4 linked regions of the Arabidopsis thaliana genome follow. The protein of the gene in region 4 interacts with the protein of the main gene of each other region in a biochemical or structural test. Each region holds a gene or a part of one and is shown on either strand. Other genes may lie near its edges. The genes, in order: CO, BLI, iqd2 and BIN2.

Region 1 (5,077 bases), on a different chromosome or scaffold from region 4:
CGTGAATGATAAGATTATTATCTTTTGATAAGATAAAGATAGAAAATGATCATGCAACAACAAAAAAGGAAACTTCCTGAAAGAAGATAAGCTTAGTTCGGAAGACTACTTGGGCCGTCCCCTGAAACAGAAGTTTATCGCGCAAGAATAATTGGGCCTTATATCAGATCCTTTGGCCCAGCCCGTTAGTATTAGACAAGACCAGTTGCGTGCGTCATTGTTGAATATTTCGAAGTTTGATGATCGATCGTCGCTCAAAATTTAGGGCTTTTCACTTCACAATCCCGATTTGGGGTTTTCTGGTAAACTCCTTTAATCTCAGCTCGTCAGACAAAATCGATCTGGGATGAATTTGGATCTAATTGAGCAAAAAATTGTGTTTTTTCAATCTATTGAATTTCACATCCTTAAACCCTTGCATATTCAATCTATTGAATTTCGCATATTTTTCCTCAAATTTATCCAAAATCATCCCAAATCTATTGTGACGGGTTGAAAGTAAGTTTCTTTATCGAAAATCAGTTTGAATGAATGTTAGGGTTTATATTTTGATGGTGACTGATTCCGATTTGTATAAATGTTAGGGTTTATACTGGTTTCTGACTCTCTGGTAAGTATAGAGATGATTATATATTAAATGGTGTTTTAAGGCGTGTTCAGATATAGCTGTGCTTGTGTTGTTCTGTTTTGGCATTTTTCATTTGTTCTGTCTTTACTTCTTCTTAGTCAGTCTGTGGATTTCCTTTGTAATGGTTATTGGTTAGTTAGGAACTACTCTCAGGCCTTCTTCACATGACACCAAAGTTTTTTGTGGATTATGTGGAGGAAATTGCTATTTTAGTATATGGTCATTGAAGCAAGATAAGAACCTTAGAAAGCAGAGTGTTATAATTTTTCTGTCAAACTCATGCTGTAGTTGCAGACTTTTTCCTACTTCAGATTAAGGAGAATGGTTTTTTTTTTGTAAGCAAGAAGTTAAAAGAGTGAGAATCTATGAAGGCCCAGGGACCATGTAAAGTTTGGGAATGGTTTTAAAATTTGATGGCTTTGAGAATCGATCTGAACTATCCTTAGATTTTTGGAAAAGTGCAAAAAAGTGCAAAGTGCAGCATCCTTATATCACTTTATGAACTTTTCACGTGAGGTCTCGAATCCATCACTTAACATTAACACATAGTATAAGCTATACACTTGGTTGTTATTACTTATTTCTTCTTACAGTTCTTGAAGCCGAGAACATATATGGCTGATGGTTTCTACAATTAGGAACGTGATATGACTCATTTTAGTAAGAAGTTGTGATTTACAGCTGAGGAGTCTGTGTTATCAACTTGAATTGTAGAATCTTTTTGTTGTCAGGGAGGCGTGAAAGTGTCACATGTTCAGGTTATCGGGAAGTTATTGGCTTTGAACCTTGGCTTCCCTCTTAGTAGTTAGCAAGGTGAAATCTGCGTTTTCACTTCTTGATGATCCATATTTCACAAATGGGGATCTGTACCAATTAGACTGGTTTTGTTTAACTAATGCAGAGAAAGAAGAATACTATAGTTTTAATTAGCCAAAACTACAAACCCATTTGCACAACAGTAGTAATACTTCTTGAAGCTAAGAATTTCACCAAACCTAACATAATCTCAAACTAAAAGTAATTTACAGCTTGCAATCTAGTTTTTCTTTTTGCCACAGGAGTATCAGAATGAAGGAACAATCCCATATCCTGTGTTGTACATTAGCATCGTGTTGAACCCTTGCTCCTCGGCTTCGATTTCTCTCTTTGCGAACCGGCCATTGACCCGCGGTCTTATCTCTGCATATGCCTTCCTCGAAGCATACCTTATTGTCTTCTCAAATTTCCTTGTCTTCCTCTTCTCTCTGTATCTCAGGACCCTGGCTTCTCTGTCCATTGGACTGAGTTGTGTTACTGTTATCATCTGGCTTGCAGGGTCAGGTTGTTGCTCTACTGTCCCTTTGGGCGTTCTTGGGTGTGAAGCTGTTGTGACACATGCTGTTGACTCCGGCACAACACCAGTTTCCATGGATGAAATGTATGCCTAATGACAGAAACAAAGACATTCTCAATCCCCCTGGTAAGAGGACTAAAGAGAGTCGATGCAAAAGGAAGCATATATTGTTTTTATTATAGACTTCTGGTGAAATTTCTATGTGCTATAGATCAACTGTTGGCAGTGGATCAGTGGATTTGTGTGTATGATGAAAGAATTCACCCTGCTGCGTTATGGGAAGATGCTAAATTGAAGGGGTAACAAATATACAAAAGCCTTACGTTATGGTTAATGGAACCATTGTCGTTGTAGTGAGTCCCTGAGGAGCCATATTTGATATTGAACTGAAAATTCTGTTGGTTATGGCACTGGTGGCCCCTTGATTCTTCAAGTTTAAGCGGAACAACTCTATCTCCCCCGTAGCTCGTCTGTGGTACGCTGCAGTTTTGTTGGTGTTGACTGTATTCACCTGTGAATTTGTAGTCCATACTCGAGTTGTAATCCACAAGGTTTAGATACTCATCACTAAACAATAACCCATTGTTTTGGTTATTGTTATTTTTGTCTGAATTAGGGAACAGCCACGAAGCAACCTCCTTGGCATCCTTATCACCTTCTTCACCTTCCTCTTGATCCACCACCAGTCTCTTCTCTGGATCGGTCATTGTTTTCTCGCTTTGGTGGTGAGTAGTGGTCATGGAGCTGAAAGAGTTTCCAGAAATTGGTAGAATTGGAACTCGCTGATGGCGTCTAGCAAGTGGGTTTGCAGAATGAACCTCTGAATCACAGGCTGTGCATAGAGAGGCATCATCTGCCTCACACAAAAAAGCAGCCGGAGCACGCTCACATGACTCGCAGACCCGGACACGTTTATGGCGGGAAGCAACGCGATTGGCAGAGTGAACTTGAGCATCACAGCTCATGCACAAGTAGGCAGAATCTGCATGGCAATACACGGTGCAGGCGTTTGACCGGCATGTGTCACAGGGTCGTGCCCTGTTGTTCTCTCCACTACCTATGTCGTTACTCTCTTGTTTCAACATAATAACTCAGATGTAGTAAGTTTGATGGTGTGGGAGCTGGTATCTGAAAGAAGGGGCTAATAAAGCTTATATCTGGTGTGAGAGAATAAGTAGAGGGGAGATCGAATCCTGAGTGCCTACACGTGGCACAGCGTTAGTGGCTCTTACATGTTATTGGATCCTCTTGCAGCTAGTTGAGCTTTTGGGAAGGCCTATGTGTAAAGTGTAAAGTGTAAAGTGTAAAGTGTAAACATCTCCTCCTATGCACTTCTTCGTTGGGACCCGTTCACAAGTTGCTTAGGTTTTGCCACTTGCCATACTGAGATTCTCAAGAGGAAGTGGTCCGGATAATGCCATGGTGTTGCAGGCAAATTGTTACTATTTTTTCGTATCACCTTTTACTATTTTCATATGCATTTTATTTAAAGTAAAGCTAGATTCGTTTTATCTCTTTGGCTTTATACAAAGTTTAAGTGGTTGAATATTCATCCTGAACCTTGTGATTACTGTTCAGGTATCTCTCCGAGTAAGGCTTCGAGTGTCAGAGCCATCACCAACTGTTATGGGTTGACTACCTATACAAAGGTTAGACAAACTCGTGAATATGGTATAGTTGTTGTTCCATTATTTGTGAATGCATCTGCATCATTTAGAAAGATTTGCAATTGAAACTTTCGAAGGATTTTCTGATGAAAAGTGTTATAATGTTTAATCTGGTTCATAAAGTCATGGTAATGAGAATCATATCGGAAAAGTGACATGAAAAACATAGAGACGGTGGATTTTCTAGGATCAAACTCGAATCCGCCAAGTAGTCTTGAGACTACAAATTAGAATTTACCTGACGCACAAGTTAAAACTTAAAAGGCATTTTGGAGTCCACATGAGCAATAATTAGATTTATCATATATAGTATGTAGAAATTTGCACTTGGTAACCATTATAGTAAGTAGTTACAAAACATGACTCATGAGTGTTGTCACATCTCTGTAATTTGGGTTTATGATGATACTCTATACTATTTATTGTAGCTTTATTAGATCTCAACCTGTGGAAGTAATCTAATACAAACGACACTTGTATGGAATTTTCAGGACATGTTTCTAAGATCACAGAGGTAATTGTGAAGTTTTCTGCTACACTCATTTACTAGTCCACATGATCCATAGATGCAATTTAACCATCTTCACTCTATTTGGTGACCCATTCATGTGTTTAGCATCGTGGGTTTTCCTGTACTAATAACCATTAGTACTTGGAGTTGCCTTGTTGGTGTTATGCTCATAATGTTTACTATGTGGAAGCTACAGGATACGATACTCTCTAGGTTTGAGGACTAGCTCCAGTTACGCTTTTGGGTCCAGTGAATGTATGATACCCATTATGTGGTCCAAAAAGAATGAGATTTGACGGACGCTCTAGTGGCCAAATTCATATGGCTACCTTCACTCTATGCCTTAAGAGCTGAAAAGTGAGTGTTTTTTTTTTGTATAAAATGCTGGTCCTAGGATACACTTTTCGCATCTCTTCCTCTTTCATATTTGCTTACACCGCACTTCTCTTTCCCATTTTGAACTTTAAACTTTGAAAAGTTTTTTTTTGCTTGGTAATTGGAACTTAACATACAAGTTCTTGTTATTTACTGGTTTTACGATGAATGTAATGGCATTTAGAATTGTTATGAAATGGTTATATGATCATTGAATTCTAAAGAAAAGATTCTAGGTTCTTTAGTAAGCATTTTTGGAGATCTTTATCCTGCCAAGTTGGATAAGTTGAGGCATCTTTGGCTTTTAGTGCTTTGGTGATGAAATTTTTTGGAGATTGTAACGTGGTTCGAGTTCATGAAGAGTAAATTGTGTATTGGCCTTTTCACTTGTAGCTCAAGAAAAAAGTAGTTTTGCTTATTATTGCTCGTTGACAGTCTCTAATTAAGTTTATTGTTGTAGCGGTTTGGAACTTCTCTCACATGTGTAGGCCTTCGGATAACTGTTACGAGTAATAGATCATATGTAACAATATCCTCAAAGTTGCATCGAGATTTTCAAGAAA
Region 2 (7,748 bases), on a different chromosome or scaffold from region 4:
AAAAATCATAACAAATGAAGATTTTTACGGTGGGCGGCGGCAACGAACAAAGTAGGTTATCTTATCGAAACTATGAGGTTAAACAAAAGATTACACATATTTATAGAATAACAAAATAGGATTATGGTAACTCAAAGTCTCTAATATACATCTTTTTATATCAACCACTCGTTTGTTTTAACCCAATTCTGATTGGTTACTGAAGATAAAGTGTAATCCACAATGGCTTCTAAATGTTTTAAATTTTAGATTAGATTAGATTATCATTAGATACCAGATAGTTCCTCTTGTTGAATGGCTCATATACTCTTAGATCAAATTGTGTGTGTGTAATCACCTAATTGTACTTCGGACTGAAATGAACAGTATTTGAACATAACCGATAGTGTTAACACTTGTATTTCATAGTTTGATCAAGTCTTCAATTTAAAACGAGAAGATAAAATATATCCGAAACCATACAAGATTTTTTCTTGGTAAATTATATTTGCTAGGAGGAACACTTTAACTTGGCTATATAATCAACAATTACAAAATTCAGACAAAAACGCACTCATATAACAACTACCTTTCTCTCTGTTTAAGCTTCCGAGTCTCCTCTATCCATTTGGAACTCTTCAAGTTCATGGTGTTTCTCACTATACCATTTTTGCTCAATCCAATGAAATCCAAAATTTTGGATCAAAAGAACCAAATGAATTCTTCCAAAACTAAAGGAGAAGAAGCAATCCATGGCTGTGCCCGGGATATACAGAATGGCAACAAGGGTCACGACTGAGCAAGCCATCCATGCATTAGAGAAGCTTGCTTGTCCTTCTTTTCGACGGTCCTCCTGGGAACATCTTCATGATCCATCCTAGAACCCTTTCTACCACCTAAAGAGAGAGAGAGATATCATTAAACTGTGGTCTTTCTCAGATTGAACTTTATAAACTCTGAACACAGAGAACATGAGAGAGTACCTCATCGCCTTCATCTGCAATCGGTGTTCTCTCTTGAACAACATGAGTGTCCGGCTGCTGCTTTTCTGGTGAAACATTGTCTATGGCCATCTTCTGCGCTGTTACAAGCTCTAACCTTTGCGTCTGCGCTTCAAGTTTTCTGGATAACTCTTTGTTCAGCTCCTATGGTTATGAAACATGAGAAATATAAATGATTTGGGGATACAGAATAAACACACAAACAGTAAAACGTAACTTATAAAAGACCCAGAGAAAATAAGGAGCGCAGGGACCAGCATGGAAAAAAAAAAGAGTATAAGAAGAAGACAAGGCCTTGGATTTTGAGTCTATGAGGACTCGGAGTACCATATAGAAAGCTCAGCCAGAGAACTTATGCATGATGTTATGGTGACAGAAAATTCTTACTCAAGTCAAAGAAGACATGTTTTTAGCCCCATGAATTTATGTTACTGTACCTGCACATGCGCACTTCGAGATAACTCAGATGACAGTGCTTGCACCAGTTCTTCCTTCTCAATTGCCAACTGCAGCCGAAGAAACAAAATAATCATCACGTTATTATCCAGATTGAGAAAATGATAGCACCTTGAGAATTAAAAAGTATTGCTTCTCACAGCTAAAGAAAACATCAAATCAATCATCCATAAAAACTACCTCAGCAATCAGCGTATTAATGTTATGAATCACTCTCATCTGATCAGCTGGGACGCTCAATGAAAAGCCTTCAAGAGTTAATTGTCTAGTTTCAGGAATGATAGCTGTATTAGATGAATCACTTTCGAGCAGAGTAGTAGAATCTGTTTCCTGGTTGGAGCTCTCTGGCGTAGTATCTGAGATTGCTGCACGAAGAATCCAAAGAGTCAGGGGACTGGTTAGAAGTCAAAGATTAAACTTGAAACTTTTTATCTAAGGTTTGCCGAAGATGCAAATGTATGAGTTTAGACATCCAAAATACGCTTCAGATTTCTTAAATAGTGTGCAAAGACCATTACCAAGACCTTCTGTAGAGGTTGACACGTTCTTTCTGCTAGTTGAGTTTTTACTCAGATCAGTGGATTTTCCACCAGATGAAGCTTTCTGCACCATAGTTTGTAGGACCTTCTTCTCTGCAACAGTAGATGCAGAAAATAAGCTAATGCATTGTTCAATCACATTACTCCTTAGAGGAGTAGATTTCAATGTGCATACCTTCCTGAAGAGCTTTAATAGTAGATTGTAAATCTTGACGATCTTTCTCTAAGCTCTGCAATTTTTTCCTATTGAAGTTGATAGGTAAGATAAAATAGAACCCAGAAAGCCATAAAAGTTACAGACTGAATCCATAGGGAGTTTTCCAGTATCCCACGGTTCTTTTTGGATCAAACATCATGTAAAGGTGAAGTTACGGACATGAATAGAATACAGTAAAGAGCCTACTTGTAAGATAACATTTCTGTTTGTGCCTTCTCCAGTTCCCTCTCCAGCTTTAACTCATTAGATCTGAGTCTGAGAGCCTAATATATGTTCCAAGAAAAATCCAAGCTAAACAGGTAAGCATCTGAAGGTAGACGAAACAGATATTTCACAGCTGAAATATTCAAAAACTAAACTAAACATGTCACTGCACACTTTTGCAGCTAAGTAAGCCAAAAATGTTAGTTGTTTTTTCAAATTTAATGTTATTGTAAGACATAACATCCAAAGCCAAATACCTTATCTTCCAAACTGATGACTTCAGAAGCCAGTATTTGGGAACGCTCATCAGCAGCATTACATTCTAGCTGCGCGTTTGCATACTCAACCCTGACAGACTCAAGTTCGCCCTGGACAGAATTAGTGTTAAATCAAGTAACAGCTTTTAAAGTAATCTAGAAATAGCTCCAGTGCATGAAAGAACATGGCATGCAATTACTCATCCAGAATCATACTCCAATTTTTAGTTTTGTAAGTAAACATCAAACAATCTAATAGTACAGGGATGTAGAAAAATGCAATATCATGCTTTAATAAAGTATACTGTTCGATCATATACAACTGGAATTTGGTGACTGTATAGGCAGTTAATACTTACCATTTGGGCTTGGATCTGTTGATATAGCCTCTCCATGTCATCTTTTAGTTGGTTGACAAGACCTCTCTGTATGAGATAGAAACGAGAACAAGTATTACATAAAACATTGGGAGGATTTGTGACTATTATAAAGCTCAGTGGACACCATGTCTTATAGCAAACAATATATAACATCATGCATTCTCAAAAGTAGACAAGCCCAGTAAATGTCAACTAGGTAGACATCCTGAAGCACCTTCTCCAAACACATAGTCTAACACTGTGTGTTTTCGCAACAAAGTCTAAACATGGTTTAATTCAAGAGCATAACGCTTTAACGAAAGACTCAAATCACATCCATCCACATCATGAATAATAAATATTCTTATATTTCCATTTCCCAAGGATCCTAAAACCACATGACAGTATACTCTTGCTAATAATTAAGCATGATAAAATGCAAATAATTAGTCATCTACTATAAGTGGTCAAGATTGTTTTCTAGTACAAAAATCAGAGTTGGCCAGTATTCAGCTAGGATGCCATAAGCTTGCATGTACCTGCTGGTTATAAGTGTCTGTCATTGAAGAATTCTCTGATGCTAAGGATTCTGCCAGTGCACGTGAAGCATCAAGATCCCTTTGCAGTGAAAACTTTTCTTGTGTTAAATCCTCAATATGCTGCAAGTGAAAAATGAAACTGTAGCTCAGAAAAGTCACAGGACAAAGGGTGTACAAAGACGAACAGTGTTAGCTAACATCCTAAAGAAAAATCAAAGAGCAATCCAAGACAAGGTAAGAAGATTATGATCCAGCCAGCGAGAGGCATCCACTCAATATCTTTGACGATTTGGTCGTCTTTATATAACATCAGATCAATTCCCCACTTAGTTCTTCTAAATGAGAAGACCATACTAAGTAGCAATTGACAATACATTAACAAAATAAAAGATGGTGCAAGAAATAAGTATCTTACCTGTTCCAGAGCAGTAAAATCATCATTTTGTTTTGGCATAGAGAAATCAGTAAAACCTGGCATTACTCCATTGGCAGCAGGATATAAAGAACTCCGAAACTTTTCAAATGGATTAGGATAATCAGATGCTCCGCTTGTCAAAGATGATGGTCCATTACTGTCTCTTCTCCCTGATATATAAGATGGCCCAAAACCATCACTGCCAGATAGTTGGGAACCACTGGATGTAACCAAATCCGCTTGTATCTCAGGGTGTTGATATTGAGTCTCTGGAGCTCTTGATATATTGAGGGAATCAAGGAAAGACGGACGAGATCTCTTCACAGTTGCTTCACTCTTAGCTGAGTTTAATGGTGAAGAGCTTGTGATATTCACACTGAAATCTGAAGGTTCAGAAGGTCGAGATGATGTGTCTGGAGAATTAAACAAATAACTGCTTGACAAAGTTGGCTTCTGCACAATGCTACCTCCTAGTTCACCACTTCCCTGTTGGTTTTTGGCAACTTCGTCAAAAGACCCTGCCATCCTGGTAGTAGGTTGTAGAGAGTCTAGCAACAAAAACCGTAATGATAAATTAGGTTGTTGCCTTTAAGGAACAAAAAAGAAGGAGGGTTAGGACAAAATACATTACTACATTAACCTCATATGATAGCCACGTACCTTTTCTGGATGAGGTTAATCCACTGCCGTGAATGAAACCATCCATTTGCATTGAGGTTCCAGAAAAAAGAGATGCAGTTTCTCTTAGAGTAGAAGCACGATCAAAACTTTCACTCGATTGCTTGTCTATATTGCTATAAGGTACAACTTCAGGCCTAGTATTCACTGTTAAGTCCTTCGATGAACCTATCAACTCTAAGCTATTAGAAAAATCAACTTTGCCCACTGATTCCTGACCATCATCTTGTCTACTTCTTTCTTTGCTTCCATCATCCATTGCTGTATTCGAAAATGATAAATTATATACATCTTTGGTATGGGTTTCATTTGAGGTAGATTCAGCAGATTGCTTGAGAGGTCCATTAGAGATAGATGCACCAGCTCCATCTGAATCTATGACACTTTGTTGGCTATTATCAACAGGTTGTGTATTCTGTGATGCCTTTTTAGCTTTTTCTGCTGCTTTTCGTTTACGAAACTGCTCAAGCTGAAAATCCAGAAATTAAACGATAAGAAACACACAATTTTACGCATTCATCTTTAAAAAAAACAAGCTTTTTGTCGAATAAATCTCAATTCTGATTGCATGCGTTAGGACATCAATCTCAATTCCAATATAAACAACCCACCTAAAAAAAATGATCAATTGACTCAGCACCGACAAATTTTAGGGGCAAATTCAAAGTAACGAGAGAATCAAACAAAAGATGATGATTATGATGATGATGATCTACCTTACGGCGTCCAGCTTCAACGTCCTCTTGCCTCCGGGAACTAGTAGCTGATGCCATTGAAAAATACTCGAAATCTCGCAGAGGGAAATGTTCCCTCTCCAATTGCTTCAAATCAATGCTTTTTCAATTACCATTGAATCCGTTTTAGCCAAAGCCATTCCCGGAAATCGCCGTTGTTATGATTGAGGAGAAAACTCAAATTTCAAAAAGCCCAGATCCTGACGCACAGATCGAGAAGATATCGTTGAAATTTCGGGGTGGAGGAAACAGATGGAGATCTCGAGAAAACAAGTTCAAAAATCGATGGAATTGTCAAACAAAGAAATCGAAATTAGGGTTTTCGATCTGAAGGAGAGGAGGACGAAGTTCAAATATTAATTTTGTTCGTCAGATCTCTTTTTAACAGATCCCTTTCTTTTTATTTTCCCCTTCTCTGCTTTGAATTAAACGTTTTTACTCGTTTTTTTTTTTCTTTGTTTGGTTGCAATTTTTTTTTAACGTTCACTCATTGTTTGTTTGGTGAAATTTAGATTTCATGTAGCTTTTGATTTTAAAAATGTATAAGAAGTGTGTAATGTATTTGTTCATAGTCTGTTGTATTTTTTGAAAAATAAGAGAGAATGTTTAGGTAGTAAGAAAATTAAGAGAAAAAAAAATGGAGAGAAATGAGTCGTGATGGACACATATGACAGGTAAAGAAAATAAATAGGAGCATCCATGTGGCCCGTGGAACATGACGACAGCCCACCAAATTACTCATGTTTTTAAAGAGAGAAATTGACAAATTTTAATATCAATAGAAGCTTCAAATTCCTCTACTTTAGGACAACTAAAAGAGCAAAGTAATGAAGAAAAAAAGTGAAGCAAGGTCAACCTTTTGGTATCATCTAGGTGTTTATTATGGGGTTTGGTTCACTTTTTTGTTTGCATTGTTTGGATTTTGGATTTCTTTTGGAGTTCTATTTCATATTATCAGTTTTTATCTTTGCGTATTTAAGAAACTTTTACTGAGGTAAAATATTACACAAATTGCCACTGATTTTAGAGAACAAATTCAATTTAAAAAACTCGAAACACCGATTTGTTTTGTAGAGCTGAAGCAAACCTAAACCAAAAACCTAATCCAACCGGAACCATTTAATTACCGTTGGTTTTCTTTGGTTTGGTGTGGTTCAGTTTGATTAGATTCAAGGATATTTAGATCAAGCGATATAATTTTATTTTATTTTTTGGTTAAACGCTATATAAAATTTGACATGTATATTATGGCAAAATCACAAATGCTGGTTATCAAAAGATGAAAAAATGAAATCTGTTTCTTTGGGGCAAAAAATATTACAGAAATTAAATTGGAAAATGAGATTAACGACTTTTTTTTTTTTTTTTTTCGTCAAATGAGATTAACGATTTTTAAGTTTGAAATGAAAGTTAAACCCTAAAGAGGCCTAAAACCCTAAAAGGCTCATATAGTAACTAGCAGCTGCTTCTAGACTCTTCTCCTTCGCTTATTAAGCCCTCTCAACTCTTCTTCTCTCTCTCTCTCTCTCTCCGCCTGTTCTCCATTGATCTAATCTAACTCGCTCATCAGAATCATCTCTTCATCGTTAATCCTCTTCCTTCTCACTCACCATGTATCGTTTCGCTTCTAACCTCGCCTCCAAGGCAAGGTAATGAACTCACTTTCTTCGTGTTTTTTATTCACTCTCATTGGAAGCTAATGAGGAATTAAATCGATTTGGGTTTTGATCTACTCTCTTCAAATTCATCTGGGCTCTCGAAATCTACTAGCTTAATCCCGATTCTGAATTGCCAGTTCTGATAATAAAAATGGTGTCTTTATTGTTCTCTGTTCTTCAGGATTGCTCAAAACGCTCGCCAGGTTTCCAGCAGAATGAGCTGGAGCAGGAACTATGCAGCGAAAGAGATTAAGTTTGGTGTTGAAGCTCGAGCTTTGATGCTTAAGGGTGTTGAAGATCTTGCTGATGCTGTTAAAGTCACCATGGGTCCCAAGGTACTCTTTTTCTTCTACACATTTTGATTTGATTTGGACATGATTTGGCCAGAGGTTCCTTCCTTAGCATGTGATTTGGGTGACCGGTTGATTCTGTATCGAATTTGGTCTAAGACTTTCTGCTTTATGTGATTCTAATTTTGAAGGGACGTAATGTTGTGATTGAGCAAAGTTGGGGTGCTCCTAAAGTGACAAAAGATGGTGTTACTGTTGCCAAAAGTATTGAGTTCAAAGACAAAATTAAGAACGTTGGTGCTAGTCTTGTGAAGCAGGTTGCAAATGCTACTAATGATGTTGCTGGTGATGGTAAGATATTTCATTTTGATTGATTATGCGGTTCATAGTTGTAGAAACTTTGCAAAACTATGTACCAATGC
Region 3 (5,610 bases), on a different chromosome or scaffold from region 4:
AGTTCGATCAAAAACCAGTAACTCTTCATTCTCTTTTGCAATTCTTAAATGTTTTTCTCAGTTCTTGTTTCAACTCAATCTCCCAAAAACTCTCATGCTGAACGTAACCCTATCTTTTAAAAAATATTATTATAAAATTGTTTTCTTATAACTATAAATATTATTTTAAATGTGTATGTTTAACTGAAAAAATAGATGAACTGAAGTAGTAACAAAAGTTGAATAGTGGTGAAATTAAATTCTCTGAGGTGATATAGATGGACATGGACTAATCTATATATGAAGTTGTAAACTGTTAATTCAATTAAATTCACTGGGAAGAAAAAGGTATGGCGTTATCATGGGTTCAGGTTTAGGTGTTAGCCAATATAGGAATCTTCTACCGTTGCTCTGTTACAAAACGACAAGACTTAAATGTCGGGTCGTTACCAAACTCACTGGCTCATCTAAATATCTTTAAAACGCTAACGGCCCTGACCTTATTTCCATGCCCCACTTACATTTCAGATAATGCCAAATGGATTTTTCGGTTCAATTTTGGTTTAGTTATCTTTTTTTTCCCCCGGTTTAATTAACTTATAAATTTCACTTGCTAGAATGCAAAGACCAACTCAAAGTTGACCGACGGGGAGAGAAATTTTCATAATAGCTTATAATTATTTTTTATTTTATTGGCAACGACAAAGTTTGAATTATACATTAGGTGGAATGTCCATATCCCCAATTCAACTACCGACTTTGGATATACAGATACCTATTAATATTATAAGTTATCAGAGGCATATCTTTATATAAACAGTTATACATAGGACTTTGATATGTTGGACATATGATTAGCTAAAATAAATTATCAAATTCCAACGGCTAGTTCTCACTTATTTTATATGAAAATAATTTTAGGGATGTTATACTAACGAAACAGAGAAGACGCCACATGGAGTGATTGGACATATATATGCTTTTTTTTTTTTTTTTTTTTTTTCTTAACCACAAAAATTACAGGAAGACTGGTACAAGCTGGCCACCGATAAGGAACCTTTTGGGTTTATCTCCGAAAAAAGTCAATGATTTCAGGCAGATAATACTTAATCCAGTGGACAAAAATTATATACTCTTTCAATCATCGTTCTAGTTCACTGTATGTCAATCCATATAATTTGGGAAATTGCTTTTGTGGTGGATATACACGATCATAGAGCAAAATACAGTCTGCTAATAGCTGTTGCATAAAACGAGTTTTTCCAAAGCATTATTTATGGTTTGTGTCACTAGGTATTATGAGTCAAATATTTTCTTTGTTCATCCATCGGAGATTAACTTAGTAGTGTGGGTGGATCTGAACATAAAATATGATATGGTGTACAAGTACAATGACCAACTAATTTTCATGATTTATCAAATCCAGAAAGTATTAAGTATCGTATATGGTGGCTTGTTAACGAGTATATTTTAAAATGATAAAGGCTGTCTCACTGGTGGACATATTTTGTTCACATGTTTTGTCGGTTGTAGTAATGTAAGCGTGTATTAAAACACACATACTTTATACGGATTATGCAGATGAATTAATTCGATAAACAATTGGTATTTGACGACAAAAAATACGATCTTAAATCTTAATTCGATTAATAACAGATATTTAACGGCAAAAATATAGTGTTATATTTTAACCCGCCTAAAGACAAAAATTAAAGACGAATAAAAACTTTTTATTGCAACAATTTTGTTTTATTAGGTGAAATTAAAGACCAATCTTACCGGATAAAGTTATAAATTAATTTAAAATTTATATGGTCACTGTTTTATCGATCCTCATAACTTGTTCATTAAATTATCTAGTTTCAAAAAAGGTACAAAATCCAATACATTTTCCAGTTTACACGTTATCCATATTTTAAGAAAATTTCAAACATTTTTAGAGAAAACACCAATATACCATGTCAACTATGTATACTATTTTTGAAATGCACCAAATAATAATAAATCTAAAGATACTATACTATAAAAAGAAAAATTAACAAAACAGTGTTTATGAAACTTAAGAAATAAAACTCATCACTAAAAAAAAAAAGTGAAAAGAATAGAGTAAAAGAGAGACGAAGTTGGTAAATTAAGAAGAAGAAAAGGAAAAAAAGAAGAGTAGAATGGGGCCCACAAAAGAGGCCCAATTAAGTGGCATCACGCACAAACACACACCGTCACAAATACTCTTCTTCACACAGCTTTGAATCCATCTGTCTTCTCCTCTCTCTCTCTTCTCCATTTGCAATTATGATAATGTGAAAGCAATTCGAAGAAGAAAAGTTATCTTCGCACCTCAGCAAAGATCCAATCGATTCGATTCTTAAGCTTTTTCGTCTTCTCCGATAAGGTCACTACTTAGAAGCCGCGTTGTGGTTTAGTTGACTCCTCCAGGTTTTATCTTCAAGCTTTTTCGTCTATCAGATCTGGTGTCACTGTCTTCTCATAGGTACGATTCATTCTCTCCCTGATTCAGTATCAATTGGTGAATTTTAGCTCTAGATTTCGAGATCTGTCGTAATTTAGCTACTGAGATCAGTAGATTCAGTTTCCTTGTGGAATAATTTGTTTCTTCTCTGTGAAGGATTACATAGAGATGGGGAAAAAAGCTAAATGGTTTTCAAGTGTTAAGAAAGCATTCAGCCCAGATTCAAAGGTGAAGTTTTTTTTTTTGTATATTGATGTGACTTAATGTTATAGTCTGTATATATTGACATGTTGATGTGTTTTCAGAAGTCGAAGCAAAAATTGGCTGAGGGACAAAATGGTGTTATCTCTAATCCTCCTGTTGTGGATAATGTTAGACAATCTTCTTCTTCTCCTCCTCCTGCTCTTGCTCCTCGTGAAGTGAGAGTAGCTGAAGTGATTGTTGAACGGAACAGGGATCTTTCACCTCCTTCTACAGCAGATGCTGTGAATGTTACAGCTACTGATGTTCCTGTAGTTCCATCTTCATCTGCTCCTGGTGTTGTTCGTCGCGCTACACCTACTCGATTTGCTGGAAAGTCAAACGAAGAAGCCGCTGCTATCTTGATCCAGACTATATTTAGAGGTTATTTGGTATGTAATTCTACTCTTGCAATTGGCTTTATTATCTGCAGAAACTTAATTCCTTCGGAATTTCGTATGAGTTTGACCGAGGCACTTGATTTTGTGTGAAGGAAGCTGCTTTGTTGAGTATAATCTTATTTTGTGTAATATCTGAAATACAGGCAAGGAGAGCGTTGCGGGCAATGAGGGGTTTGGTCAGACTTAAGTTATTGATGGAAGGATCTGTTGTTAAGCGGCAAGCTGCAAATACTCTAAAATGTATGCAGACTCTCTCTCGTGTACAGTCGCAGATCCGAGCTAGGAGAATCAGGATGTCAGAAGAGAATCAGGCTCGCCAGAAACAACTCCTTCAGAAACATGCTAAAGAGCTAGCTGGCTTGAAGGTCTGTCTCTCATATTCATCTGATTCAGTTTTTTTCTTGTTATTCAAAGTTTCTTCCGTTGTTTTTGGTGAGAGGATTGCTAAGAAGTAAGAACTGTTGATTTCTTCCTAGCAGTTGCTATTATGTTTCTGCTTATTAGTCTGGAAAGGGTTAATAGTAGCATTACCATTCATATCAAATAGATGTTTACTTACACTATCAATTTACTGTCTCTTTTTTTATCTGAAAATGGAATCTTTGGGCCTTTGCTTATAAAAGTACTATTTTTCCTGTTGCTGCTCACAGAACGGGGATAACTGGAATGATAGCATTCAATCAAAGGAGAAAGTTGAAGCGAATTTGCTAAGCAAGTACGAGGCAACAATGAGAAGGGAAAGGGCATTGGCTTATTCATACTCTCATCAGGTACTCCAGTCGTTACCTATAATGCTGAATGTGTGGAAAGATACAATTAAAAAGTGAACACATCCATTGAAGTTGAATCTGTGGTTCATTTGAATGTTGTAATGATCCTATATGTTCATGTTTGCAGCAAAACTGGAAGAACAACTCTAAATCTGGAAACCCGATGTTCATGGATCCAAGCAACCCGACATGGGGTTGGAGCTGGTTAGAGAGATGGATGGCTGGTAGGCCACTAGAGAGTTCCGAGAAAGAACAAAGCAACAGCAACAATGACAATGCTGCCTCGGTCAAGGGCTCTATTAACCGCAACGAAGCTGCAAAATCTCTAACCCGCAATGGCTCAACTCAACCAAACACACCATCATCCGCAAGAGGGACCCCAAGAAACAAAAACAGTTTCTTCTCACCTCCAACTCCCTCAAGGCTAAACCAATCCTCGAGGAAATCCAATGACGACGACTCCAAAAGCACAATCTCGGTCCTGTCCGAGAGGAACCGCAGACACAGCATTGCTGGTTCATCAGTCAGAGACGATGAGAGCCTCGCTGGCTCACCAGCTCTCCCGAGCTACATGGTTCCAACTAAATCAGCTCGAGCCAGGCTCAAGCCCCAAAGCCCATTAGGTGGTACCACACAGGAAAACGAAGGGTTCACAGACAAGGCATCAGCTAAGAAACGGCTCTCGTATCCAACTTCGCCTGCATTGCCTAAACCACGGCGGTTCTCAGCTCCCCCTAAGGTGGAGAGTGGCGGCGTTACCGTGACCAACGGAGCAGGCAGCTGAGGTATTTTATTTAATATAATTATTTTCCCACTTATGAATGTGTCCGAGATTGTTGTCTCTTATGTGTTCCCTTCATTTCGTAATTCATTTGTGCAGTGTAAGCGCCAGTCATTTATTTTTTTACTATAATAAATTTTATAACCTTTTAAAATTCATGTTCTTTTGTTTCTTTGAATATTTAAGTTATTTTTATTAATGTTGGATGAATTGGAATATGATGATGTTATTTGTATTGTAATGCAGATCCTTTAAAGCTTAATTAATTTGTAATACCTTTTATTTGTAGTCGTAAATATCTTATTCTACGTTAGGTTGTGCTTGTATGTACTATGAACTATGAATATCTGTGCTTGTATGTTTTTCCTTCAAAAAATATTCATATCTTTTTTACTTGTAATCGCAAACATAATCCTGTCAAAGAATCTTTGAAGATTCCCTTTTTTTATTTACTTGGCGAGAAATCAAACATTCTCTGGAAGATTAGGTATAGTACTTTGCCTTGGCGGCGATATGAAAGGAACAAAACTGTATACCAAACCCTCCGGTAGAGGAAGAGGGGTTTTGACCTTTTCTTACAAAAATGGTCGGTTTTGACTTACTTAACCGACAAATTTGTTGAACCGACAAATTTGTTGAACCGACAGTATTAAATAGAAAAGAAGAAGGAAGTTCTCTTCAAACCGACCTCCTGCCCACGCAAAAAAAAAACAAAAAAAAAGCAGCAGCGAATTTTTATTTCTCTCCTCCCAGAACCCTAAACCCATTCCCCAATTCGATCGAGAAACTCGACAATCGAAGAATTTATCAGGAAATTTTGTTTTTTTTATTCCGATTGAGTTTTCTCCGAACAACTACTTAGCTGAATAATGGTAAGTTTTTTTGGTCTGATCTTGTTTCCGTTTAAGCTGGATTAATCTATTTCTCTCTCTCGCTCTGAATTATTGTAGGAGTATCTTGAAATTCTAG
Region 4 (5,658 bases):
TCTCGATAATAACTAGGGTTTCAAAAGCAACGAAGGAGAAGAGAAATTAGTAAATTGTTGCGTATGGTCTCTCGATCTATCTGATGTTGTTTATATAAAGACTAAGAGTCCAAGACCAGATAGGTTTTGTTAGTTTCGGATACTTTAATTGCTTGCTATCAAAGCCTTTCCCAAATATATTTTTTTTCTAAAAGGAGATGAATTTAACCTGATATAGGTCCCGCCTTTAGAAAATGTATGGTCTTTTAACTTGAACTAACAGATATTTAAAAAAAAAAAAGAAAAAAAAAGTCATGTAATTTTCTTTTTGTTTTAAAAATCCAATAAGTAATTCAATATCTGAAATTCTGAATTAAGAATTATATATTTGTAAATTTTCATTATTTAAAAATTTCTTCGAATCTTAAAACATATAAATACATAAATCAAATTTCCATGAGAGATAAAAAAAATTCACTTATTTATTTATAGGGTATTTATATGAGTAGCGAGATATTATTTTTGTAATGATTCGTGCAATTAAATTGAGTGAAAATTTAATACAAATATACTTATGCTTAAAGCAAAACCATGTATCCATTCATGAAGTGTTTGAAAAAAAAAAAAAGTGTTTGAAAGAAGCTCCTCGTTGAAAGAGTATCACTTTGATTACATTCTTCACCTTCTGCCCAAACTTTACTATATAAAAAAACTTCTGACTAAACTCATTTACATAAGGGGGAAAGAAAGAAGAAATGAAGCAAAGAGGAGACTGTGTTTTTCACCAAACTTGAAAAGAGAAGAGAAATAAGCAGATACAACACTGGAGAGTTTTTGTTTTCGCAGATTTGGGGGAGTTGGTTTTGCTAGCAGCTGGCTTTGTCTGAACGAGTTTGAGGAGGAAAAACTTTGAATTGTGTCCTCCACGTTTGCCTTCAACTACGACCTTGTGGCTCGTGTAATGGTACATTATATATAAAAAAGTAGTTGTCTTTTGCAGGATCCCTTTTAAGTTCCAGATTGATTCAAGAAGCTTAGACCCAATTGTCTCTTGATATGGTCTGGAATCAACTTGTTGACCAGTTCAGGTGATGATCCAGCTACTTCTTGTTTGAAGTTGAAGAGAGGCGGGAAAGGCCGTCCATTTGGTAAACGAGCGTTTGGTTCTCTGAGTTCATCAAAGAACGGATGTGCACAAGCTTCGAGCTGAAATACGAGGAAACAAAATATATAGTAAGGATTCAGTTGGATTCTTAGAGACTGAAGAAACCTCAAGACCAATGCTTACCGCTGTGCATCTTAGACTTGGAGAGTATTGAAGCAGCCTTGATGCAAAATCAATCGCTTCTGGGGGCATCCTTTTGTGGAAGATCTAAACCAAAACGTAATTATGATCAGTTGATGTGTGAAGAAAGAAACTGAAACAAGAACACATGCAAAAAGAGAAAAGACACTAACCTTGTGCCAGGGATGTGCCTTTATCTGTGGAAACCTGAAATCTGTGTAATGTGGATTCATACAACGGATTTCTTCTCGAGTTGGTGTACCAAGAACCTGTGTACAACAACTATACAGTGAGGATTTTGTAGCCAAAGAATGTAATTTGCAAGGAATCATCGTTTAAAGATTCTTACTTTTATAATTTCAACGAGCTGATCCACAGCATTTTCTCCGGGAAATAATGGCTGCATAAGAACATGATATAGTCACAATGAGTCCTAATGCAAATATACACATGGAGATTGAATAAGCTGGTTACTGAAAGAATTGTTTACCTGACCAAGAAGAAGCTCAGCAAGAACACAACCAGCAGACCAGATATCAATAGAAGTTGTGTACTCAGTGGCACCAAATATGAGCTCGGGTGCACGGTAGAATCGTGAGCAGATGTAAGAAATGTTGGCTTCACCTTTAACCTGAAGCAAAAGTAAATTTCAACAGTAAATGACAAGATCACAGAAAACAACAACCGCTACAAGTCGAATGAGTTTATATGTCACAAAGTCTTACGAGCTGTTTCGCACTGCCAAAGTCACAGATTTTGACTTGATGAGTAAGAGGATCAACCTATAGAAAGAGACCAGAAGAGATACATTAAGAACGAAAGAAACAAAGGCAAGAAAAAAAACAAAGAGTTCAATCTTAAAATGTTACACATACCAGAAGATTTTGAGGCTTTAGATCTCTGTGACAAACTCCAGCAACATTGTGAATGTAAGCAAGTCCCCGGAAGATCTAACATAACAAAAGGAAGTAATATCAGCCTAAGAACAATCTTATGTACATCAACTTTGGAAATGGAAGATATGAATGTGTGTTGTTATTACCTGATACATGTAAAGTTTAACATAGACAAGAGGCATTCTTTGGTTTGCACTACTATAATGTTTCAGAACTCGATACAAGCTCTCAGGGACATACTCCATAACCAAGTTCAAGAAAAGCTCGTCTTTACTTGTAGTCGAAAAGAAGCAATGCTTCAAACAAACCACATTCGGATGATCCATCACACGCATCAACTGAAGTTCTCGGTTCTTGTATCTTCTATCTTGCAAAACCTTCTTTATCGCCACGGTTTCTCCAGTCTCCAAACATTTTGCTTGGAAAACGATCCCGAACGAGCCTGTACCAACAACTCGCTCCGCCATGTAACTAATTGTCTAACAACAACATAGAAAAATGTATTGGTAACCATCAAAATCTTGCATATACATAAAAGTGAGTCTATTTGGTTAAAAGCCTTAAAAATACCTGTTTTGGTTCACCATTTTTGCCACCGATTGTGGTGGAAATAATATGACCAGTGACTTGATCATGTCCATCAACTACAGCAGCAGGCATCTCCTGAAAGAGAAAAGCTTTAATATCAGCACAAAACCATTATCAAAAGCTAAAAGAATAATGCTTGTCTGAGAATCAAAAGTCTAAAGAAGGAAACTTTTATCCTAAAAGAGTGGTTACAAAATAACCGTTACGCAGAGTGAATCTGATTTAGTTAAAACTAAAAATATATACTTTTGTCACGCCAAAAGAATGGTAAACAAAACAAATACATATAACAAACCAAACAAGGACTAATCTATGTTCAATTATGGATCTAGCAGCTTGTATAAACTCTGGATTAATCACAGATCGAGATATATAGACATGGATCATCCCAACAGAGCTAACTTAGAAAATTCTAAGCTCAGAACTCAAAACCCTCAGAGATCTCAGGGTAAGTCAAAAAGTTAACGAAAGCTCAAAACTTTGGACAAACCCAGAACTCAAAACCGTTCAACTTCAAGAGTACTAACTAAACTAGATTTATTATCACAAAACATCTGTAAGAACAGGAATCTCAAGACAACTAATTGAAGGGTCAAATGTGGAAAAACCAAAAAACAGGATCTTCTTCTTCAAAAGACAGCAAAAGGAACACAAGCAGCTTTACCTTATCATCAGCCATGGCGATAGAGACACAGAGAGGAGAAGAGAAAAGAAAGAGAGAGAGTGGATTTGAGAGAGAGAGAACAAATGAGTTTCAATCAGTTTGGTTGGTAATGATCATTGTGGCGATAGAGAGAGAAAGGGAAGCCGCAAGATGAGAAAAGAAGGAGAGAGAAAGAACAAGACCATGTGAATCCAGCTCTTCTCTTTCTCTTTCTTTATCTATCTACTACTTTCCGTTTTCTTCGCCATCTTCTTTCGTGTTTTTTATTTGTTAAGCTACAATTACGTAAACACCCTTGAAATTGCTGGTTAATTACGCAGACACGGACTCTTTGTGGAAATTTCGTGATCAAAGGGAAGGCATCATGTACTTGTCGGTCAAATTTGAATCATGTATTCGTTTGGTTTAAGGTCTAAATTGACATTTCATGTAATCTCATAAAATGTTAGAATGCTAGAATTGTCAATGTCTCAAATTTTCACTATCATAAAGTTTATAAGAGGACTGAATATTTATCATATTCGTTGTATTTAGTTAATAAAATGAATGTAATATCACTCATTATTGTAAAAAAAATCAAAGATTAGTCAATACAAGTTAGTTTTACATTATTATAATTTGTTCACAAGTTCGACTTCAAGCAATCTCGTTATCTAGCGTTGTAAAATTTTAGTAATGGATACTTGATCAAAATATTATCATTCCAATTTCATATAAGAAATTACTTGCAATAATTTTTTTTCCAGCGGTGACTTATATATATATTCCAAATTTTGGGTCTATTTTTTTTCTTAACACAAATTTTGGGTCTATTTTTTTTCTTAACACAAATTTTGGGTTTAATAATTATATCTAAGGTATGTGTATAAATAGAAAAGATAGGGCATGATGAAATTGGAACAATATTGTCAAAGATCCAAGTTTGACCATTTGGTGGGAAAACTTCTTTTTTGACATTGATGAAAGAAAAAAGCATTTATGTTTCTTTGGGTCTTAACTTTTTAATGTTTTTATTTTATAATTAAAATTTTAGACTTAAAAATGAGCTTTAATTATTACCTAATAGTGTAGCTTTACTTATTGTGTTTGTTTTTTTCTTTATATTTGTTTATTTATTTTTCTGGAAACATCAATATTAAAATCAATGATGATAATGATAGCAGTCCTAGCATTTGCAGAAGACAACAAAAATAATATTAATATAATTTCTTTTTGTTCAATTATGCATGGGACATACATACTTTTGGCTGTATGGACGGATTTACATTGCATATTTGTGAATTATCTTCAGGCTCAATTATTTAAATGTCGATATGCGTATTATCCAATCGTATATACAATAGCAACTAGATTATAAATGTTCATATACATTCGGTTTTAGCTGAAGATGTTAAATTGTCAATGTAGTAACTAGTAATTAAGTTGTTATTTTTCTCACAAAAAACAAAGTTTAAGTTGTTATGAGTGTTTTTGGTTCTATAGAAATTAGAAATGATATTAAGATTGTCCCCAAAAAAAAATGATATTAAGTTATTGTATATCTTTCTTGTTTCATTGTACGGATTAAACAAATCCCACGATTCTTGTTATATACAATAGTGTAATACTATTGGAGTGTAGGAAAATGAATCGAACCAAAAGCGGTCTCACTCAAGAAGCTTTTAGCCCTTTTTATTTTGGTAGATAATACATGTTTGTAAATAACTACATTAGATAAAAGATTATATAAATATATTTCTGTAAGGGATCTTGAATAACTCTTGAGGTATGGGAAATCACAATAACGTGCACCATGTGACTGAGGTTCGAACCAAGGCAGAGAATGAAGAACTAATTATTCATAACAGTCATTGACGATATATTTAATTTAAAAGATTGATAACATGAAAATGAGAGGCAAAGTTAAGTATAAAGACGAGAATAATGATTGGGTTTGTACGAAACGGAAGAGAAAATCCTATAACAAAAATTCTTTTTCCTAACTAACAGCCAACCGTCGGCAAAAAGAAATGAAAAAATTTGCAGGTAACCTCTTCATAAATCATAACTTCTCGAAGCATATTCTTGCCATTTCTTCAAGCATTCCAGCTAAACTATTGTCTACCTCCGTTAGTTTTTTTTTTTGTTTTTTTGATATATGATTCATCAGTTGATCCAGTTAGTTTTACTAAAAAGTTATTGAAGTATTATAGAATTGATTTTCTTTCCAGAGGCCTGAACGATAACCTCATTGTATAACCGAGTTT

The links.
Region 1: the proteins of BIN2 (region 4) and CO form a complex in vitro, tested with the Arabidopsis thaliana proteins (one study listed by BioGRID).
Region 2: the proteins of BIN2 (region 4) and BLI form a complex in vitro, tested with the Arabidopsis thaliana proteins (one study listed by BioGRID).
Region 3: of the proteins of BIN2 (region 4) and iqd2, one has a biochemical effect on the other in vitro, tested with the Arabidopsis thaliana proteins (one study listed by BioGRID).

What each region holds. Positions count from the first base shown.
Region 1 is NC_003076.8:5,169,652-5,174,728, forward strand, and holds CO (B-box type zinc finger protein with CCT domain-containing protein), read right to left. Parts: upstream 3,435-5,077; 5' UTR 3,047-3,434; coding exon 2,285-3,046; coding exon of another isoform or gene 2,144-2,284; exon of another isoform or gene 2,052-2,143; coding exon 1,692-2,051; coding exon of another isoform or gene 1,687-1,691; 3' UTR 1,398-1,686; coding exon of another isoform or gene 1,360-1,397; 3' UTR 1,253-1,359; coding exon of another isoform or gene 1,243-1,252; 3' UTR 511-1,242; downstream 1-510. Other genes in the region: AT5G15843 (uncharacterized protein), read left to right, coding at 1,243-1,252, 1,360-1,397, 1,687-2,045, 2,144-2,260, 2,578-2,731. UniProt on the Arabidopsis thaliana protein: Transcription factor that acts in the long day flowering pathway and may mediate between the circadian clock and the control of flowering.
Region 2 is NC_003074.8:8,662,024-8,669,771, forward strand, and holds BLI (BLISTER), read right to left. Parts: upstream 6,018-7,748; 5' UTR 5,418-6,017; coding exon 5,361-5,417; intron 5,114-5,360; coding exon 4,627-5,113; intron 4,515-4,626; coding exon 3,967-4,514; intron 3,672-3,966; coding exon 3,552-3,671; intron 3,079-3,551; coding exon 3,013-3,078; intron 2,765-3,012; coding exon 2,654-2,764; intron 2,456-2,653; coding exon 2,379-2,455; intron 2,219-2,378; coding exon 2,151-2,218; intron 2,069-2,150; coding exon 1,955-2,068; intron 1,802-1,954; coding exon 1,617-1,801; intron 1,487-1,616; coding exon 1,418-1,486; intron 1,125-1,417; coding exon 963-1,124; intron 876-962; coding exon 795-875; 3' UTR 390-794; downstream 1-389. Other genes in the region: HSP60 (heat shock protein 60), read left to right, coding at 6,990-7,027, 7,218-7,371, 7,518-7,677. UniProt on the Arabidopsis thaliana protein: Is required for normal leaf, flower and seed development and controls cotyledon and leaf patterning by inhibiting premature differentiation. Regulates the expression of a subset of PcG target genes.
Region 3 is NC_003076.8:709,414-715,023, reverse strand, and holds iqd2 (IQ-domain 2), read left to right. Parts: upstream 1-1,890; 5' UTR 1,891-2,470; intron 2,471-2,605; 5' UTR 2,606-2,617; coding exon 2,618-2,677; intron 2,678-2,754; coding exon 2,755-3,081; intron 3,082-3,233; coding exon 3,234-3,455; intron 3,456-3,740; coding exon 3,741-3,860; intron 3,861-3,987; coding exon 3,988-4,644; 3' UTR 4,645-5,076; downstream 5,077-5,610. UniProt on the Arabidopsis thaliana protein: May be involved in cooperative interactions with calmodulins or calmodulin-like proteins. Recruits calmodulin proteins to microtubules, thus being a potential scaffold in cellular signaling and trafficking.
Region 4 is NC_003075.7:10,294,243-10,299,900, reverse strand, and holds BIN2 (Protein kinase superfamily protein), read right to left. Parts: upstream 3,764-5,658; 5' UTR 3,428-3,763; coding exon 3,413-3,427; intron 3,376-3,412; exon of another isoform or gene 2,824-3,375; coding exon 2,731-2,823; intron 2,640-2,730; coding exon 2,307-2,639; intron 2,215-2,306; coding exon 2,140-2,214; intron 2,047-2,139; coding exon 1,990-2,046; intron 1,896-1,989; coding exon 1,755-1,895; intron 1,665-1,754; coding exon 1,614-1,664; intron 1,534-1,613; coding exon 1,438-1,533; intron 1,352-1,437; coding exon 1,268-1,351; intron 1,186-1,267; coding exon 988-1,185; 3' UTR 512-987; downstream 1-511. UniProt on the Arabidopsis thaliana protein: Negative regulator in brassinosteroid signal transduction pathway important for plant growth. May be also involved in auxin signaling pathway. Phosphorylates and increases the degradation of BZR1 and BZR2/BES1 by the proteasome.